Caenorhabditis elegans: one gene and its partner. The protein of the gene in region 1 interacts with the protein of each later gene in a pairwise test. Each region holds a gene or a part of one and is shown on either strand. Other genes may lie near its edges.

Region 1 (6,280 bases):
AAAAGAAGAAATGGTTCTCTCTGCAAAATTTTCGATAAAAATGACGTATGGTTGCTGTGCTCGCTAAAATTGCTTTAACATGAGATTCTCTAAAAATTTTTTTATTGATTTGTTAATTTTTTCTATTAGAAGCGAAATTTTGCATTGTGTTCGACACTTATAAAACTTAATTTTTTGTAAACTGGTTAAACTGATGTACCTTTTGCCATTGAAGTGAAAATAAGTATTACTAACTCTCAAATGTATGATTATCAAATTCTTACCAATGTTTGCCAGTCTCTTCATATCATACAAATTAGTTGTGTATTTGTACTACCAAGAAGTTTGTTACCGTATCGAATCCCATATGTCAAAATTTTGCGAAAAAGTTTCAAGTTCAACTGACTTATTTCCATTTTCCGTCATCCTGAATCCTCCCACGCCATCGCCTAGTTTTCAGCTCAAATTGACATCATCTCTGCCCTTTACGTAAACGATTCGAGAGTGAGACAGTATGCCAAACGAAGAAAAGTGAGACATCGAATGCTGATAAAAGCAACCAAGAAAGTGACCATTTTGGGAAAAAGCGCGTTGTGCTGCATTGAAAGCGTGTTTAACTAAACCGATAACAAGTGATAACAGAAACGAAGACTCTTGTATGAAGCAAAACGAGCCATTTTGAGTTGCTTTTTGTATATATTTTTATGAAATTTGTTGATAGCCAGTCTCATTCCAATGTGATGAGTCTCCTGCAAAATAACCCGGAATTCGATGATTGTGATTTACAATTTAATTATCTACGATGTCTAAGTTTCGAAAGATTTTTTTACAGTTCAGTTCCTTTCCTATTTTTAGTTGATACCTCCCAGAGATCGTCCACATCACCTGTGTTTCTTTTCTTATCCCTATCCGTTTTCATGATTCACTCGACTGTTTTTGGGTGCGGTCGCGCGTGATTCTTGCACTTTCTCTTTAAATGAACAGTGCCACCTGCGTTGTCGGACATTTTGTTTGTTTTTTATCTTGATTTTCGAAATATTTAATGTCATATAACCTAAAACCTAGGTTTCTAAATTGTCTGATCACAAAACCTGGTTTCTTAGGCTCCACTAGTTTAACGCGATTTTTTTTTGAAATCTGTAATTCGATTCAAAAAAATCCTATTTTCTTTAATTTTTAATTTTGTATTTTGTTATAACTTTAAAAACGAGCTGAGCCATGTAGATGTCAAAGGTTGTAGAGAAATACTTTTTTTTAAGGAGTTGTATATTTTTAAAACTCCTTTTCCGGAAACACCGCGATATAAAATTAACGCTAGGTTAGAATATTGCTAATCACACATTTTTGGAATTTTTATTCCGGGAAAACTGTGCTCTGCTGGACAGTGGCAATAAATGTCTTATCATTGACAATAATAGGCGTTGCCCTTCGGAGATTATAAAAATCAAGAAGAGAGCAATGATGCACACTTCCGAACATTCACTTTTTATCAGCTTTGAATTGTAATCTGATTTGGTAGTTACGCACGAGTATGCAATTTGTTTCATTATTTGCAGCAATTAGGAAATTCCAAAAAATCATGTTCTTCAAGAATGGGTTACTGTAGAAATATATGTACCTCTGTGTAAAAATTGACCTATGATCATCAGAAAGCACTCATTGTTGTTGCATCTTTTTTTTTGTTGTAATAGCATAATCAGTAGTTAAAGCGGCACCTAATTCTCTGAGAATTCTTTGAGAAATTCATTTAGAAAAATGCAAAAAAAGTTGGTGTCATTCTTCGAATACTCTCATGCCAATGGATTCTTGTTTTTTGTATGTGTCCAAAAATTCAGCAATACTTCTTTTGAGTGGACGTGTCGAAGAGACGAAGCAACAAAAAGGAGAAGAAGTCGTAATTGATTATATGATATGATTGAACATGACTTTTTCTCCTCTCTCCCCCTCCTAAATCATACCATCACTTTTTTGTGTCGTTTTTAATTCAGAGAATATGGTGGTGGTCTCGCTCGCTTCGTTTCCATTTTGAACCGATTCTGCCACTAATTCATTGGCATCGGAGGGCACCACTAGTTGTCGGCATCGGCGGAAAGCGAAATCTTTTGAGGTAATCACTTGACTGATTCGAAGTGATTTTGCCACTTTTTACAAGATGATAATGGTCAAAAATCGTTTTAATTCTAAAAACGGAAGTATTGAAAAGATATGGTGTTAGGAACAATATTATCGGATATATTCATACCTTGAAGCTAGTGCCTCTATCTTCGCTTTTCACACTTAGATTTCCTAAACATTTTGTTATATTTCATGGTACATGTTAACTTAAACTAATAAAGATGATATGGTTACATTTTTTGTGGTTGCTACTTGCTGGTCAGTCTCGGAATTTTTTAAGTTTGACCCAAAAAATTAAATTCAAACTATTATGTTTTGTGAGCTCAATATTCCACAATTGAATTACTGTTCGTCAACCCTTCTGCCTTTGTTGATTTCATATCAGCATTTGCCTCAGAAAATAATTTTGCAAAACTCTGTGACCACCAAAAAGTTACAAGACATAATTGAAAACCCTCATCATTTTGTTCAATAGGTCTTTCTCAATTGGTTGTGATAAAACATCACCAGTTGCAAGATTTATTGTTTTGATCGACACCGGGGTGAAGTAATACTGTACATTTGCAGCTAATCTAGGCACTTTTACTGAACTTTTTTGTCTGTGGGTAGAAATCTGTGTGCATAAAACAAAAAAGGTTTTTCTTGTAGCTTTCAATCATACCAAATTTCTACTGCCTTAAGAGCATGCATAGATCCCCTCGAGGGGTCCTGTTTAAAACTATTCCAAATTGATCTTTTTAACTTGATACAATTAAGAACCTCCTCACTTTTTTCCAACTTGATAAAAATAATATCAAATTAAAAAGTACCCAAAAACAGACGATCATAAACCATTTTCTCTCATCGTTCTCCTCCACTTCCCTCAACGACTGCCCCCAGAAATAAATGGGCGGAGTTTGATCAGCGATTGGGTTGCAGTCGGTCGGAGTGTTGGCTGCAGTCGTCCCACGCCTCCAAATGTCTTTTGAAGACACTTGGACCTTCTGGATCATGATTTTTACCTGTGAAAGTGCACTCTGCTGATGCTGCTAACCTATATTTCCTTTAAGCCTCTCGTTTTCTCCTCTCTTGCATTTTCTCTTGCACTGTTCAATCATTTCTTTTCAATAGAGTAAACACACACAAACACAGTTTTTCTTGCTTTTCTTTTCTTTCTCCTACACTATTTTCACTTTGCTCATTGAAATATGAACAGCCAAATTGCTCAATTTTTTGCAGCTGACACACTGGTTTGATTTCATTATACAGTATCAATCTGGAGTCGATCCATTCGAAGAAATGCTGAAAATGGAACAAAGTGCACCTCCAAGATATGAAGAAGTGAGTGTTTTTTCTGCAAAAAAAATTTAATTAGTAAAATGAAGTTCTGATCGACTCCTAATTGATTTCCTTGATTTCGTCACATTGCTTCATCTCAATTTTTCTTTGGTTTAGAAACTCGAAAATAGTTTTTCATTCAGCATGGTCTCCCATATTTTTTTTTGAATTCTGTATTCTCATTCTCTTTATCCGAAAATATTATAGTACAATTTTTTCGAATGCTGGTTTGAAAATTTTCGAAATGCTGGTTTGAAAATTGCGAAAAGGGAAAACCTTATAAAAAAATTTAAAGCATTTTACCAATGCATTTTTTTTCGAAATTTTTAAAATATCCTTTTCTTCACAATCTGTTTATATGAGAGGACACTAAAAATTCGTGAGTGCTGTGTTTCTGAACATAATCTCTTTTTCCAATTATCGGATAAATATTTACCTAATTATTGTAATTATCATCATTTTCATTTCCGTTTCTGACGTACAATTATTTATTACGAAAATATAGTTACACATACAAACATACAAAAATATTGTTTTCTTTTTTTTAGCCCATAGGTATACCCTTACACGCATATAAATTACGTACAATAGATGGGGCTCTGACTCATTCGACTAGGTCCTATTCAGAACACTTTTTCTTTTCTTTTTTTCCTCCGTCCGTCCGTCCGAAGACTTTTTCTCCTCATCATCATCATCATCGAAATATCACTTTGTGTATGTTGCGTGTTGTCTGCTTCCATTTTTGTTGGGGTTTCCACCCTGTCAAAAAGAAGGCTAATCAATGGTGATAATCATTGGAAGACAGTGCGCAATATCCAGAGAGTAACAGACATTTCGATGGTCTTGTCGAGAGAGGATGGATACCGAAAGAGAGTGAAGACGGTGTATTAATTAATGGCACTGGTTTTTTTAGAAGAATAAATGGAAAAATTAAGAGACATAGACAGACAAGAACATAATAAATAGACGCAGAATGAAAAAGGAACCTTTCAAAAGTGATTTTAACATTTTTGAGATTCCTCTCCCGCAATTTGAATTTTTTCTCTCCCCCTTTCGTCCAAAGCAAAAATGACATCGCCAAACATTTTTCAGGACTGGGCTGATGTCTACGAATTCATTGAAAGGGACTCGAGCAGAAAAAATGTTCCGGCAATTGAAGGTAAATTTGTCGATAATTTCTTTTGAAATTTGAAGAATTTTTAGCGATTGAACGACGCCTCGCATTCTCTCCTCTCATAACACCAAATCCAGGAGCAAAGCAATTTGCACCTATTCATGTACCTGGCCGAGAGCCTCCAAGGATGCTTCTTCCACCAACACCCCATTTCCAAGCTCCATTCTCCCCGCATCCACCTCCAGTTCAACAAGTTCCGAGCTACAGCCCACCTCATGCACCTCCAAGTTATGAAACGTATCCAGAGGTCTACTATCCTCCACACATCATTTGTAACCCTTATGATGTACCAACGACCTCAGATAGAAATCCACCATATTATACGGAAGTGACAACTGTTTCTGCAGTGACACTTCATTCGATGACTCCACCAACTCATAAAATCGAAACACCACCATCAAGTCCAGAAAATTCGTTTGGTCCACTTGCATCACAGTTACCTGCCATCAAAATGGAGATTCCCATGCATCCGTAAGTTTCTTAAAAATAGAATTTTGGTTCAAAAGCGTTAGTCCAAATAAATAACACTCGATCGCAATGCACACACTGAAAAATTATTGAATTATATTCCATTTTCTGATCAATCCCTAATCTTTAGCTATTACAATCATAAACTTCTTTAGAATCCATTTCGTTCAAAGATTCATGCAAAAAAATTCATTCTCTCAATTAATTTATTTTTCTATCAGTTCTGTTTATGTTATAATTTCTGCCATAACGTCATATCTTGTCTACCGTATTCTTGTTTTTTCCTTCTTCCATTAGGAAAACTATTGTGATAAGTGTTTCATAAGTTGCCCACCGGACGAGATATCCGTTTTGATAAAATGCGCGAAACAATACAAAAAACCGGGAAACAAAAAGGCTAAGGGATATGCGTGCGTCAAACATTCCAAATCGATTAGCTGTTTACAACCAAATAAATCAAAAGCAATTTCGGAATTATTCGGTCTTTTTGCTTTCACTTCAATCTTGGCGGCAATATGAAAAGATGAATAGTTGAAGGAAGGCTTTGCCAAAAGTTCTAAAAACAGTTACCTTGTCATGCAAATTAGTGCATTTGGATGCGTGCGCGGGCGTCACAGGCTCACAGTAGGTGGTCTAGTACCACTTTCTTTTGCGGCAAATTACCGCACCGACCGTCTAGTTCTAACAAAAAGCAACAAGGAAATTCAATTGAAATCAGATATTTTGGACAAGTGTTTAGTTTAGTCAAACGTAAAGGGATTGATATATCCTGCCACGTCATTTCTTGAGTAAATTGTTAAATTGCTCAACTTTCTCAAAAATGTTCCGAATAAATTGGAAATCCAGTTATTTTACCAAGATTAGTCACCCCTAAACACTCTATTTCTGCCACCCCCGCGGCGCCTGCTAACAGTTTCCATGTTTGTTGACATAATACTTCTTTTCGATCGGAAAATGACTGCGGTGGCGCTGCTTTCGACACGGTCAACGATCAGCTTAGCGGGGGCCGCTTGTTTCGCGCGTTCCACAAAAGAATACAATCACAGATAATCAATCAAGTTATCTTTTTGGTGGGAAGTCAATGATGATGAGAGAAAACAACGTTTATTGTTGAATAAAAAATACTTAGAAGTTCTAACAAATTATATACTTCAAGGGATTTCATGATTTTTTATATTGTAAAAAGTTGTATATTGTAAAAAAAGAGAAAATACGGTACCCTTCTGA
Region 2 (6,280 bases), on another chromosome or scaffold:
AGATCAAATCCCATGTTCAAACTTCAATACATGTAAAAAATTCTCGCTGTTAATATAATTTTATTTCAAATCCACAAAAAGAAAAAAAACCAATTAACCAACAGTAACAATAGGATCTGTATAAAACTGTGCTCCTCTCTTCGTCGTCAACTTGTCCGCCATCTGAGAAGCCAACATCTTCCACTGGCTCTCATAAATTGCAGAAATCGCGGTCACTTGAACGGTCAAAGGGACAACAAACGGACTTTTCGCGTATTTTCCATCGGTTCCAGCCTTCGCTGCACACTTATAGTAGACTGTGGATTGTTGTAGAACACCGTAACCCGCGGTGTCGGCGGTGCACTCGGTTACTGTAGTAAGTGTGACGTTTGGAGGCGAGAATGTGATGACTGGTGGGTTTATGTCGTTTAGGGGGATACTGTTGGCTTGCAATACGTCGTTGATCTGAATTTTTTGAATTTTTAAACTTTTTTGGTATTGTATAGTGTTTTTAGTGTTTTAGCGCTCTACTTGGTTCCATTATTATACAAGTTTTGAGCAGATAATTTTTTTTGGTTCGTATGGACAAATTTTAGCAAGCTCTCCGAAATATAATCTGGTAAATGAAATATTTGAAACAGTTTTTTTTTGATAATGGGTATAAATACTTTGTGGCTTATTTTGAAACTTAATGTTTCAGACTTATTTATCTTTAAAAAAGAATTCAAAAGATCGACAAACGAATTAATTTTATACAACCTGAAAAATGAAATATTTGAAACAGTTTTTTTTTATTGATAATGGGTATAAATATCAGGTTGTCCCATAAGTTTTTGTACTATTTTTTTTTTTGAAAAAAATTTATTTCTCTCAAGCGACAAGTAGTACTATTCACACAAGTATTCACCATTAGTGTCCACCACTTGTTGCCATTTACTAGGTAACATCATGATGCCACGGGAGAAGAAATCCGGCGAACGCGATGAGAAGAAAGTGGAGAGTTCAGTTTTGAGATGCTCTTCGTCGTCGAATTGCTTGTCGCGCATGTAGTCACTGAGAGACAAGAACAAATGGTAGTCGGTTGGTGCAAGATCTGGAGAATATGGTGGATGCGGTAAAACAGTCCAACCAAGATCTTGCAGCTTTTGGAAAGTCTTCTTGGCGACATGAGGCATAGCATTATCGTGAAGAAAATATAGTTTTTCATATTTTCCGTTGGTCTTTTCTGCAACTCGGTCCAATTGGGCACAATAGTAATCAGCAGTGATAGTTTTATTAGTTGGCAACAATTCCCAGTGCACGGGTCCTTGAACACCCCACCAGACACAGATCATTATCTTTTTTGGGTGAAGATCAGGCTTTGGCGTCGGTATTCCTTTCTCACCGATCGGAAGCCATTGACGTTTTCTGGAATGGTTAACATAGAGCACCCACTTCTCATCTCCAGTAACCAGATTGTTCAGCCAATCGAACTTTCGACGAAAAGTTAGAAGTTGAGTACAAACGTTGACCCGAGTGAGCTTCTGTGATGCCGAAAGTTCATGAGGCACCCAAATTCCAAGTTTTGAAGTAAAACCAAGGCGACCCAAGTGACGTGCAATTGTGCTATGACAACACTCAAGCTTCTCTTCCATTTCACGAAGACTAAGACGAGGCTCTTCCTCCACCAGCTTCACTAGGTCTTCTTCATTTAACTCTACCGGTCGCCCAGAACGTTCTATTTCTTCGAGACTGAAGTCGCCGTTCTTGAACTTTTGAAACCAACTCTTTGCTGTATTATAAGAGAGTGCTCCCTCACCCATCGCACCGCATATGTTTCGTTCCGCTTTCATTGCTGAATGACCAAGACGAAATTCATAAAGAAGAAGCAATCTAACGTCTCGACGTTCAAGTTTGATGATTGTCATCGTGGCAAAGTAGAAATGGATGAAATGAATCTTTTCTGGAAGGGGACGACCCGACCTTGACACGACCTACGATGAAAAAATTTTAAAACTTTCTAGAAGTTTTGGAAAAATATTTGAAAAAAAGTACAAAAACTTATGGGACAACCTGATACTTTGTGGTTTATTTCAAAAATTAATGTTTCAGATTGTTATCTCTAAAAAAAATAATTCAAAAGTGATAACAAAATAGATTTAGTGGTAGGTAGACACATCTCTAGGCTCTTCTCTTTCAGCATACTTTTTTCAGTCATTTCTCCGCTCAAAATGTGCGAACAACACAGCCATTTGCGGTAACGAAAACACCCCAACCAGCTCTCCGAAACCGGGCTGCGATGTCCGAGCGGTTAAGGAGTTGGACTTGAAATCCAATGGGCATTGCCCGCGTAGGTTCAAATCCTGCTCGCAGCGAATACTTTTTGGAAAATATTCCGAATTAAATCTACAGGCTTTTAAATAAATTTTTTAACTCATTGACCGCGCACCTAGTATGTCGCTTTTGAGTGATTTATCAGTTTCTAGGAGAGAACAGAATTATTTCGATTATTTGCAATTGGCTATATCAGTATAGTGAAACAGTGAGAATTTTTTGTGTTAACACAATGAAAATAGAAAGATTGTAATATAATCATGCATTTGTACTATAGAATATAACATGTTTCTACAAAATAAATTTTCAATAAAACGTAAAAATTTTATTTGTAAAAAAGTATGTTTTATAATATTCTTATTAGCTCACTGTTATCTTACTAGGGAGTGTTTCAACTCTACGGTGCCTAAAAAGTTATTATTATTGTTTTCGTCAAAAAAAAAATTGCCTCCGAATTTTATGGCCCACTTATGGGTTTTTTTTCAATTATTGTAGAGATTGGAATATGCTATACTTTTCTTTAAAAGTGGCAAAAACGTAGTAATTGGCACTTTTCGAAAAAAAAAAGAAAATTTCAATAAAATTTTTAATGTTTCAAAAGTATTTCATTAAACTTTTTATGAATCGCTTTTTATTGAATAGGCTGGCTTGATGGAAATTAAGAAAATATATGGCTTTTCATCAAAACTAGACTAGAATTTATAAAGCTTCTGAGAATTTCAAATTTTTTTCAAATAATAATGCAACCGTTAAACATTATGCGATGTGTTGCCATTTCACATTCTTTTATAAATTTGGCAAAATTATCCACCACCATAGTTGGACATTTAATAATTGGACTTTTAATAAATGCAATTATACGAACTCCAAAGAAAACTGTAGCTGTTCATAAAAATTTTGTGAAACAGTAGAAATTTTTTCTGTATTGGGATTTTTATTTAAAATTGCATTTAACTCACCGCACTCTGCACATCCGACACCACAACTCGCTGAGCATAGGCTTGATCAAACTGTCCGTTTTCAAATTCTGCTAGAGAATCATAGGTGTATAGAGCAGGAGGGTTCATTTCATAGCTGAATGTTCCCTTGGAGCCCAGCGTTCCGGTACCCGGAGCACAGGCTCCGGCTGTGGAGATGAAAAAGCAGAGGAGCAGTAGAATTTTAAGCATTTTGAAGGTTCAAATCACAAAAGTTAAAAGTGAAGTTTAAACCTTACCTCAATCCTTTTTTATACCGTTTCCTTAACCTTTGCCCCACAATAGCTTATGTTTGTTTCGATTTGCCAAAAATGTTTATATTTGTCATAGTTATGGCATCATTTTATTACTGATTGTTAACACTTTTTCTTGTGGGTGGGTGTGCCAACAGTAAGAATAGGTAAAGCATACTAAGCGGGGGTAAAAGGGAACTCGTAAAAATTTGAAACCCAAAGATCGAAAAATTGTCAAACAGCCGTTACTAAAATTTGTTTGAAGGCTGAAACTGAATTTTTTTTTTGTTGCAAATTTTGAAGATTTTGTTCCTGGATTCGATTTGAAAACTTTAAATACAATGAAAATCCAAAAATAGGTGGAGCCTATTATTGATTATACTTTTATCGGAAGCTTCTGGTTTAATTTTAAATTGTTTTACACGTTTGAAAGCGGATCACTATCAGAAATAGATCAAAATGTGATGAAAAGTTTTATACGCACGCGGTGAAACGGTAAATTTCGAAATTCAGATTTTTCGATTTCTTATCAATTTTTAAAGTCATTGATGGAGGAGTAGCGCCAGTGGGGATATCATTTAAAAAAACACTCCAAAAAACTCAAATTTTTTACAACTTCCAGTCAAAGTTTTGGCAAAAAAAATTGTAGGAAGTTTTTTTTTGATCGACTTATAAAATTATGAGTGGCAAAATTTGAGTAATAGTCACTTTTTACAGTGAATTTTTAAAAATCCAATTTTTTTTCAAAAAGTTTTACCTTTAAAAAAATGTAGATGCTTTCTTTTAAACCATTGTGTTACTATTAGATTTTTTTCCTATAACAAGACAGTTTTCTGTAAAAACCACCATAGTCACTATTCCAACTTAAGAGGTTTTGCTTACATTTGACTACTTCTGGCAGATATTAATTTCCTGGTTACGTTTCAATTTTTTTAATTACCAAAATACAATTTGAGCGTATGAATAAAACCCAATTTACAAAGAGTATAATAAAAGCATGTTGAAACAATAAAAATTTTAGAAAATTTTTTTTTTCCGAAAAGCGCCAATTATTAAGTTTTTGCCACTTTTAAAGAAAACTATCCCTAAAATAATTGAATATTACCGTTTGAAACATAAAATTCGGAGGAAAACATTTTTTTTTCAACGATTTCCAAATAAGTGCCTAACAGAATGGTTGCCATTTTTGAAATAAAATAAACAACATTTTCAAAAAAAGTTTTGAATAGTTTTACTTTTTTTGAATTTAATGTTTTAAATTAATTGTTTTGAATCATATCATTGAAATTTTAAGATCTTTCTCATGAAAAAGTTCTGAAATAATAACTAAAATATCAGTGACGCAATATAAATATTGTGAAACATAATTTTTATAAGTACAATTTTTCTGTAGAATTGTTGTATTCCATAGTACAAATCATGATTATATTTGCCTTACAACCATTCTCGCTACATTGTGTTAACACAAAAAATTTCTGACTGTGTCACTATGCTGATATAGGCAACTGCAAATAATCTGAATGGACACGATTTAAAAATATTTTTTATTTAAAACAATTTCAAATAACTGATAAATCGATTTAACGCAATAGGTTAATGTTCGGTGCGGTCACTACTCCAACTTAAGAGATTTTGCCCAAATTTGATTATTAGGTCGTTCAATAAGTTTTTTCGTTTTTTTCTAGTTTTGGTTTTTTCTTGGATAATATTTTGCGGTTGTATAGAAGACTGTTAGTAATAACAAGCCCAACAATATCAGCCATATCGGTCAACTTCCAGATTATTTAAAACTCAGAACTATGATGACGAAAAAAAAATTTTTTTTCGAATTTTTTCATTTCTTTGTGAAATCAAAAACTTTGTATGCGTAGAGGTATAAGACAGTTAGTTAAACAAAACTAAAACATTTCAGAACCAGGCATAGCTTATTGGTAGCGCTACATCTGTTGGAAGTGTCGAAAACGCTTGCAAAATTGACTTTTTCATGTTTGAGCGGTGCTAACTTTTAAACCATGAGAGATATACAAAAGTAATGTATCACAGCATTAATGTACACATCATCAGCTACATTTTATCAGTATGTTACATTGTTGTCCCTCCTCACGTTTCTGAGTTACAGTCGATAGAAATGAGCTTGGTCCAATTTTCAAAAAACCCTAATTTTTCACGTTTTCGCCTGTAACTCCGAAATCAGGTGCCTGATTAAAAAACTTCAAATTAAAAATAAAGTGATTTTAAATTATAATCAGGTACACAGTTGACCGTTTTGTCATATCATATGTGGGCAAAGATATGAACGGTCAACAAACAAAAAATGCATGATCGAAAAAATATAGAAAAATATTGCAAAAAACTGTTTTACTCTTTCCGAAAAGAACATGAGCGTTTAAAAACACATTTAATATTTTGATTACTAATTAGGCTATCATAATCAAAAAACAGTTAGAGGTTATCTTGTAAAAAAAACTGTTGGATTTTTTTTCGATGTTTTTTTTTGAAAATTTTCTAAAATTTCCGCAACTTTTCTTTGACAATTCATATCTTTGCCCACATATGAGATATGACAAAACGGTCAACTGTGAACCCGATTATAATTTAAAATCACTTAATTTTTAATTTGAAGTTTTTAATTAGACGCCTGATTTCGGAGTTACAGGCGAAAACGTGAAAATTAGGGTTTTTTGAAAATTGGACCAAGCTCACTTCTATCAACTGTAACTCAGAAACGTGAGGAGGGACAACAATGTAACATACTGATAAAATGTAGCTGATGATGTG

The links.
Region 2: the proteins of klf-3 (region 1) and Y51H4A.8 interact in a two-hybrid assay, tested with the Caenorhabditis elegans proteins (one large-scale study listed by BioGRID).

What each region holds. Positions count from the first base shown.
Region 1 is NC_003280.10:6,614,906-6,621,185, forward strand, and holds the start of klf-3 (Kruppel-like factor 3), read left to right. Parts: upstream 1-3,312; 5' UTR 3,313-3,372; coding exon 3,373-3,414; intron 3,415-4,479; coding exon of another isoform or gene 4,480-4,503; coding exon 4,504-4,570; intron 4,571-4,614; coding exon 4,615-5,056; intron 5,057-5,605; exon of another isoform or gene 5,606-5,740; intron 5,741-6,280.
Region 2 is NC_003282.8:16,575,055-16,581,334, forward strand, and holds Y51H4A.8 (DUF4136 domain-containing protein), read right to left. Parts: upstream 3,496-6,280; 5' UTR 3,462-3,495; coding exon 3,252-3,461; intron 3,156-3,251; exon of another isoform or gene 3,135-3,155; intron 2,949-3,134; exon of another isoform or gene 2,927-2,948; intron 2,704-2,926; exon of another isoform or gene 2,680-2,703; intron 2,457-2,679; exon of another isoform or gene 2,435-2,456; intron 2,334-2,434; exon of another isoform or gene 2,252-2,333; intron 719-2,251; exon of another isoform or gene 698-718; intron 575-697; exon of another isoform or gene 554-574; intron 445-553; coding exon 94-444; 3' UTR 40-93; downstream 1-39.